Linked DNA regions of Nothobranchius furzeri. The protein of the gene in region 2 interacts with the protein of the main gene of each other region in a pairwise test. Links are inferred from orthologs where the notes say so. Each region holds a gene or a part of one and is shown on either strand. Other genes may lie near its edges.

What was found.
Region 1: the proteins of hspb11 (region 2) and ift27 interact in binary tests that used the Homo sapiens proteins (3 or more experiments, as listed by UniProt). The two-hybrid records come from large-scale screens. The link is inferred for Nothobranchius furzeri from reciprocal best matches to the Homo sapiens genes IFT25 and IFT27.

What each region holds. Positions count from the first base shown.
Region 1 is NC_091746.1:76,148,288-76,152,815, reverse strand, and holds the start of ift27 (intraflagellar transport protein 27 homolog), read left to right. Parts: upstream 1-1,582; 5' UTR 1,583-1,712; coding exon 1,713-1,746; intron 1,747-2,155; coding exon 2,156-2,235; intron 2,236-4,528. Other genes in the region: synaptogyrin-1, read right to left, coding at 612-713. UniProt on the Homo sapiens protein: Small GTPase-like component of the intraflagellar transport (IFT) complex B that promotes the exit of the BBSome complex from cilia via its interaction with ARL6. Not involved in entry of the BBSome complex into cilium. Prevents aggregation of GTP-free ARL6.
Region 2 is NC_091757.1:41,300,609-41,304,902, forward strand, and holds the start of hspb11 (intraflagellar transport protein 25 homolog), read right to left. Parts: upstream 2,888-4,294; 5' UTR 2,759-2,887; coding exon 2,667-2,758; intron 2,572-2,666; coding exon 2,465-2,571; intron 1-2,464. Other genes in the region: smn1 (survival motor neuron protein 1), read left to right, coding at 2,901-3,041, 3,421-3,492, 3,574-3,693. UniProt on the Homo sapiens protein: Component of the IFT complex B required for sonic hedgehog/SHH signaling.

The DNA.
Region 1 (4,528 bases), on a different chromosome or scaffold from region 2:
GTAAATGACAGATATATAACTTTTTTCACCAGTTCTTTTTTAACTAAACTTAAGCTTAGAGTAAAATCCTGCAACAGCAATGAGTTTATGTTTACAACTGAAAATACATGATTGTCTCCGATTCTGTTTTATTTTTATTATAAATAACAAAATGTGGGTCTAGGGTGTTTTTGAGGTTGAATGCTTCACACGAGAGACTCCCAGCCCCCTAAAATGTAACAGGAATGATAACTTTGAGGGATGTTGGTGGCCATGAGCTGATGTAAAAAGTTTACCTGCTGTTGCTGCCACCCCAAAAGTAGAATGATTAAAAGCTTATACAGCCTAATTAAATATTTTCGGTCTAATTCCTTATCTGTTCATTTAAACGTTAAGGTTGTTTACGATCAAACGGGCCTCACGTGGTGACTGCATCAACATCAGCTCAGCTCACAGAAACAAATAAGAATATCTATCTATAACGTGTGATACACAGTAATAGCAGTTTCTGGATCAACAAAAACATGAAGTGATTTCCAGACTTTGACACAGGCCTGTTTAATCCACAGAAAGCGATTCGACAACTCTAGCTGGTTTATTTATCTGTGTTGTTGCTTTGAGTGGTTTCTTACCCAAGACACTATGCGGAGAATGGTCTGAGGCTGCTGGAGGAAGGTGACAGGGTCGAAGGCTCCTCCAGCTTTCCCCGCTCCGTATGCCTGCATCCCCTCCATTGTCCTCCTCCTCTCTGGGCGGCCGCCTCTGAGATCCCCTTCTCCTTCCCCGCTTCAGCTTCAAAGGCACAGTGTGTGTGCGCGTGTGTGTGAGGGTATGTAGAGCACCGGATAACCGAAAGACGCACAAATCTCTGGTCCTACCACTCTGACCGCTGTCTCAGTGACTCTGCACCCAGGCTCCCTGACGCGCCACCTCTCCCCTTTTTTCTTGCTTGTAGTAAATTTAACCTCTGTGTCCCTCTGCACGGAGGTGCGCGGTGGTGTTTTGATGACGTTTCTCCCCTTCTGTAAGCTCCTAGAGCCCGTGGCAACCACGAGAACGCGCTTCCGCTCGGACAGTGCGTGTTTTATCTTTGGGAGCGCATCCTCGATAAAAACATCCAATACGCATGGCGCACGCGCCTGTGCTCACGGTGTCGCACAGAGGTAGTCACGTGCCTTAAATTGATTTAATCAAAGCGCGTCCCTGTTAGGAAGAAAAAAAATCAGAAAATTAAATTTTTTAAAACAATTACGACCCAGTTAAATAAAGAAGAAAATCTGAGTTTTTGCATTGAAAACGCTTCCAAATACTTTATTCTGAAACGTATGTTTTGTACCCTCTAGCGGTTATATCTCATAACGCTTGAAATTTTATTTATATTACGTTTTTACATACATGCAGTTTTTCAGTATTTACAAGTATGTGTCATGATTAGTGTTAAGAAAAACATTTAAAATGTCCTATTTACTTATCTCCGTCGGATCGAATGAGCCATGCCTGACAGATCTTGCTCGGGGGCGAAGTTCTCCAACATATCAAACAGCCAATGAAAGCGTTACGTATACACTGCGTACACCAATAAGACGCTACTTTAGATGGTTGCTAGGAAACGATTTGTGTCCGAGTTGCTGCGTTGAACAGTATTTAGAAGATTAGCAGTAAAAGTCAATATTATCCAGATTATTGAATTAAGTGCATATTTTACTCATCGCGTCACGAAGGCTTGCGCTGCAATGGGGAAATTGAGGGCAAGGTGTCTGCTTGTCGGTAAGGTTTCCTATGTTTGGCTAACGTTTGCTAGGCTAACGCTAACCAGTCGAGATTTAAGCTATCGGTTAGCTTCAAATGTAAAATAACAAAACACTCTCTAGTCTTTGATACTTAGCTAACCTCCATTTATATACGAGCCTTTTAGGGAATAATTTACCAGATTCAGTATTTCTCATTAGCGTTCAACAATGCAACACCAGACACATCACAACAAATCTTGTTTATCTTCAAGATGAAGCATAAATATATTGATAATATAAACTACAGCGCTTAAATAAATATAATGAGCAAGTTTTCATTTATTTAAACGAGTTCTTCCTTGATGTTTTTTTTTAAATGAGGAAACTGCAGATGCAAAAAGATCATAAACTTCTGTTTTCTACTGTTTTTATTCCTGTTCATGCAGGAGATGCAGCCGTGGGGAAAAGTTCTCTGTCCCATATATTCTACAGCGGTGGATCTCTCTTTCAGAAGAACTATAACATGGTGAGATGATCTGTTTTTAAAATATTGATGCTCAAACACTGCTGTCTAATCTAAAGCAGCTATTTAGTAAAAATAGTAACATGATGTTTATTTACTTGAAAGTATTTCTGCAGTTTTTGTGATGAATTTAGAAATTGCATTTTTCTTTTCCCCTATCACTTGTTTTATTCATGTCGATTCAATTAAGTCACTAGTTTAAAATATCAGAAATAATGTGATTTGTGTGTTATGAAACACAGCAGCATTCATTCCTTGTTATTAAATCATTGCTTAAGATAAAAGCTAGCACAATTTTCAAAGAATCGGAAACCCTCACATTTTCAGAGAAACCTTACAAGCTTTTTACAACTTGTTTGGATCTTTTGTACTAGGACTTACTGAAGTGCAAAACAGCATGATGTACCAACTAACACTGATGTGGAAAAGTAATCTGCATTATTTATGCCTATCTTCATGTGAGAATGAGTCGTGTCATTAACCTAACTCTGTCATGAATGGATGTCACTGCTGTTCATCGTTTCTTTCAGCCAATGTTCAAAGGGATTTAGGTTAAATGCGCACACATACACTGCAAATGCAGGTACTGGTGACTTGAATTATAGTTACGTATTTTGCATGCTTCACTTTACCACTAAGCCCTGTGAGTCATTAAAGTACTGAACAGAAAAATACCGGATTATAGCCATGTGTGTGTGTGTGTGTGTGTGTGTGTGTGTGTGTGTGTGTGTGTGTGTGTGTGTGTGTGTGTGTGTGTGTGTGTGTGTTTGCTCTGGTCTTGCTGCCTCAGCAGTATCAGGGTTCCGAGGTGACAGGGGTGTCGATAATTAATACAGCAGGATTCTGGAAAGTCACTAGAACAGCTACTTAACAAGCAAACACACAGAGCCCCAAACAACACAGTTTCTCAATACTGTACCTGTTTGTTTGTGATGTTGTGAAAAAGTTAATACAAAAGGAAAAGTATAACCAAATAAATAAATACAATTTGTGCAGGAAAAGCACATTTCCTGCATGTTTTAGATCATGAACACAGCTGAGCTTATTAATTTAGTGATGAACCTCTTTTGTAGACACTAAGGAAGGCTGGGGAGATGTTTCAGCTTTCAGATTAAGGTGTTTGTTTTTGGATGGACCCACAGTGAGGAGATAGGTTTTGCTTTCGGTTCTACAAACGGACACTAGAGAGTGCTAAAAGCACGCTTAAACGGCCTAATCTCCCGTTAGGTTTCACTGAGAAAAGTATGTAAGTTGTTTTTCATCAAATACGGTTGGTCACACTGAGTTGAATAAATGCATGCTGAACGTAAAAATAGTCTCCAGTCCCTATTTTCTACATTAGTCACTGAAAAAAAACAGACGTCAGTGCTTGGGTCAGAACAAGCCACACAGATCTAAGTCACACTGCAAAATTAGCATTTAAGGACTTATCAACCTTGGCTTGTGACCGCAGTCGGCTGTGTTGATAAAGCAGCCATAAGACCGCAGAGTGTGTACCGGCTAATAGAAACTATCCATTAGCAATAGCAATTCTGTTTGTATTGATGCACTTTTTTTCGCACACAATGACGAATATTGTCGAAGAAATCATATTTATGTCAAATTGAACTGCTAAAACATTGATTTACTTTCTTTCTTTAGTCTTCCTCATCCAACCCCATAAATCCCTGTGTGTCCTCCTCCTACAGCGCTCCCGAAGGACAACAGACATCAATAGCAACACAAAAAAAGTCTGGCGTGTTGTGTAAAAACTGTTATTTTTAGGATGCTTATAGGTACGACGTGTTGCTACCAGACGTACGGTGTGAGCACTCGAGTCACATCCGAGAACTGGGTCGTACAGTGTGAGCACATGACTCGTGAGATTTGCTCTTCGAGGAAGTCGTACAGTTTGAGCTGAAGCTGAACGCTACGAGTGAAACAGTCGCACAGTGTCCGCCCGGCTTTAGCCAGTCAGAGTCAAGTTGGCTGAATGTAATAAATATTAATGAGTAAGATTCCAACCCAAATCAGTCTGCTCAGCTGGGACATTGTTAAATTGACTAAACCATTTTGCAGTGGCTGGTGTTGTTTCATGTTATCAAGCCAATCTGCTGAGCTGCTGATTCACAGCTACAATTAGCACAGGAACCATAGGCTAGTTTGACTAATTAGTAGTACCCAGTACATCAACTGCAAACAGATATTTTCATGAAAAAAAATCTTAACAAAAAAAAAGTATTTTCTGCTATTGAAAATGTGTAAACGATGACCGTACCCAGCTAGTATCAAGCAGCTACCAAAGAGGCACACAGCC
Region 2 (4,294 bases):
GATTATACCGTTCTAAACCTCTAAACTAAGTCAGGTGGACAAAAATATGCTTTAAAGATAAACGAGAGGCAGTGAATAAGATTTTCTTAATGGGGACACACTGTAACCCCGAATAAGTTCACTGAACTCAAAATTTATGAGGAAACTGATTACCTAATAATTTTTAAGTTAACTTATCTAAAAACTATAAGTTTACCATAACTTAAAAAATATGACCTGAATAAAATCAAAGCATTTAACTACCTCCAGCTTATAACTTGGTACTTAAGCAACTTATAAAGTTTAATTTAACTAAACTTGCATATTTTATTTTATTTGAACTTTATTACATGTTTTTACTAACTTAAATATTATAACTTATATGAACTCTAAATGGACCTAATAAACCCTAACCCAAATGAGTTGAATTTACTTAGAAATGACAATGTGGCAGGCTGGTGAAGGCAGTAACTAGCACCAGATCATTACTCACACACCCATAAATGCTAACAGCCAATGAAAGTGGAACACTCAAAGTCAAGTCAAGAGCATCTGGTGTGAATAACCACAGTATTATTAACAATGGGACAGCACAGCCATACAGCATTACTTTGACCAACCTCCTCACTTATGGTGCCAACATGATACAAAAAGTAACACCACATCTGCAACACTGAATGAAATAATAACTGAGAACAACAATCCTCCAAAACAGACATGCATAAACACCCCAAAATAGAGCTAAATAACTGAAAACATAACTACCCACAATGCACCTCCCCCACCAGTTGTTTATTGTTCCTGAAATCCAACAAAATTGCTAGTTTGTGGTTGTTTTTCTTGTAAATCCACAAATATTTAAAATAAAACAATATACAAGTCTGTTTATCAGACGCACTTTAGGGTTGATGTAAAGATGAATGGAATATAGAAACATAAAATAATAAATCAATCATTTTTTTGGTTAACTTTACTCATTAAAGTTAAGTTGTCTCTTATTGATTAACCCTTTGATGCATGAATTATGAAATCTTCAACCATGATTTTTTTTACAATTTTTTTCATTCGTCTTTAGGTGCGAATGAAACAAATTTCAACTAATATTTTTCGTAAAATTTTATAATTTACAAATTATTTATTACATGTCCACCTCAGTGGACAGTGTGCATTCTGAGCATGAAATATGTTGGCCTGGCTTACTGAAGTACAAATGGAGGTGCTCACATGCAATAAAGTCTTCAACAGCTGTGCTTAATAGCAAAAACAAACAAATAACTATTTTGAGTACCTGTCCACTGTAGTGACCATTATGCATCAAAGGGTTAATTTAAGTTATGTTTACTTAAAAAAGAAATGACTGTTTTTCTTAAAGGGTCACAATTTGGGAATGACATCCTGTGGTCAAATTTGGGTACTGCAGTCTGTATAAACAGAGTCTGCTCTGTTTAGCTGTCGCCAGTGACGGATCAGCCCCAGAAGATTCTTGATGACAAGTAAAGACTAGCCATACACAGTTAACTGATAAGTAAATAAATACATTTCACTGTAATATCAAGTTGTTGGTATTCAAAAACGTGGCTTGAGATATTTTTAGAGTTGACTATTTTTTTTATTCATTGTTGGCCCAACATTAGCCTCTTGCCTTTTATTTTATTTATTTTTACCTGATTTCAGAATAAAACAAAAGCATGTTGTGGCTTCATACCCCATCTTTCCACTGGATGCGTAAGCTAGTGTGTACTGTAATAGGTGTGTTTTAATGTAATAGGCGTGTTTTACCCGCAAGCTCCCTTCCCACCAGGTGCATTTCCGATGTGAAACAGTAGCAAAAGCATTCCAAGCAGCTGTTCCCGCAAGGTAAAAAAAAAAATCACCAAAGAACTGCAGGGTCACGCATGATTTCAGCAGTACACGCGACAAAACGCAAAGGAAAAGACGGCAGTGTTTAACCAAAATGTCTGTGGTTTCTTTTCTGATCAATTTACTTCTTCCACTGAGGCTTCACAGATAGTGACAAACTTTTCTACTAGTTAGGCTACTGAGTATCTGCAAGTAATCTTTATTTAGAAAAATTCTGAACACTGTTTTGTGTTTGACTCCCTGTCTGGCCCGATCTGAACATCTGAACTTGTGTGTCCTTGTGGAAGAAGTTTGGAGTGATTAGAGGCAGTAGAGACACACATGGCAGCACAAAAGGATGCAAAAGGAAATTTTGCATAATGTGTCCCCTTTAAATATCAGCACAGCTGCTGGGAATAATAAACATCTGATTACAGGTCTGTGCAAATACACTTATGTAGCCTATATTGTGTTAGAGATGTATAAAGTATGTCTCTAATTAGTTTTGTGAGACAAGTGGGTGGAAAATCTAAAAGGTAGTTTCGAACAAAATATTTGCAACTAGTAGCATTGCTTCAGGGTGTTGCTATGCTCATCACAGAGCCTGGACAGTGTGTACTATTTATTGTCACTACGGTCTTCGTACCATTGTAGCTCTCCACTGTCACCGCAGCAACCCTCGTGGGCTCAGGAAAACGAATGACGAACTCTTGAGGAAACATCCCAGTGGACGTCCAAAATGTTTTTGTATTCCTAGATGTGGACAAAAAATACGTTAATAAAATTAATCAGATACGATGCTATTTAGAATATAGACGACAAACAGTGTTGCAAAGCGCAGCAAGTACCCGTCCATAATGTTTTCTGGTGGGTGATTCTCATCGCAGGAAGAAGCGAAAACGACTTTTACACCCAAAGAGTTGAAAGATGAATCGCTCATAACGATCTGGTCCCGCGGTGGAAACGCCTAAACGTGCGTATCAGCAGGTTTAATGATAAAAACTCATCAAAAGCTGGGTTTAGCTGCTGTTTTATTGTGGCGTGTGAAGCTGTAGATGTTGCCAGGCCAACAGCGTTGTCGCATGATATATACGTCACTTCAAGTCACTCGCTTCCGACGCACATTGTTGGGTCCAGAAATTGACAACGATTGGCACACATTTCAGTGTTCCTACATGGCGAATGGATGTAGAGACGTGTTATTTACCCGTGGAACTGGGCAGGTGTGTTTAAAACATTTATTAGTCGAACTGGATAAAGTATACGAACTATTTTTTTATTTCCTGTAGATCTATTTAAAACGAGAAGCTAGGAAGCTAAGCTACAAACCACCGGTAAGTTTAGCTAGTTGGACAACAAAGATAAACAGGGTCACAAAACAGCAATAGCTGTTGTTGGGTTTTATTAGTCGAGGTGGAGGATATAAATCACACAAAATTCACTCAAGCTGCATCAGAACTTCGTATTTTGAGTGAAGTGCTTTAGAAGTAGAGCTTGTAAACAGCACTGGTCTGTGACAGGAACAGAGGTACCACCTAAATATTTGGATAAGCATGCACCAAAGTAAGGCAGACCCTCTAAATGCATTTCCTTCTTTTTCAGAGTGATGATTCGGATATTTGGGATGATACCGCACTGATAAAAGCCTACGACAAGGCAGTTGCATCATTCAAGGTAAACTGGGTGCTTTTAGGTGTGCCTGCATGCACAGTCTTCTGTTTGTTTTGTTAGAATGATGCCCATTATGTGTGCCAGACTGCCCTGAAGGGTGAAGATGAACCTCAAGCTCCTAAGAAAAACCTACCAGGAAAAAAACGGAAGAACAACAAAAAGAACCAGAATGGGAAAAGAAACAATGTAGCCCCAGAGAAAGAGGTAATGAACTTTTTGTAATGTTGCAGCCTTAAAAATGTCTAATATTTGAGTTTAAAAATACATTTTTGCATGCTTTGTTATCTGTTCTTTAAGTCATCTTCCTTGCATAATCCAAAAGCTTTAAAATAAACACTTTTTAAAAAAGATTTAGCTTTTTTTTTTTTGCTTGGCACCCTATAAGCTACATTTAGTTATAATCATTACAATACAGCTGCATGAAAACACAATCGCTAATTATTTTTATTCACTTTAAATTTTAATTTCAAAGCAGAAAAAAAATCAAATGTTATTATCTCATGACAAAACTGTGGCTTAAAGATGATAACACTTTTGAATGACTAAGAACTGAACTGACAGATTTCAGTTGATGCATATATAAATACCGTAATTTCCGGACTATAGAGCGCACTTCAATATAAGCCGCACCGGGCTAAAAGCCGCAGAATCTACTGAATTGAAAACGTAGTTTAACTGAACGTAACTGAACTGATCAGTATCAAACAAAACAGAAAAGTTATTGATTAGTTTATTCATCGTCCTCCTGCGCACTGAAACCACTGAAGTTATCTTCTTCAGTGTCGGAGATGAACAGCCTCAGAAG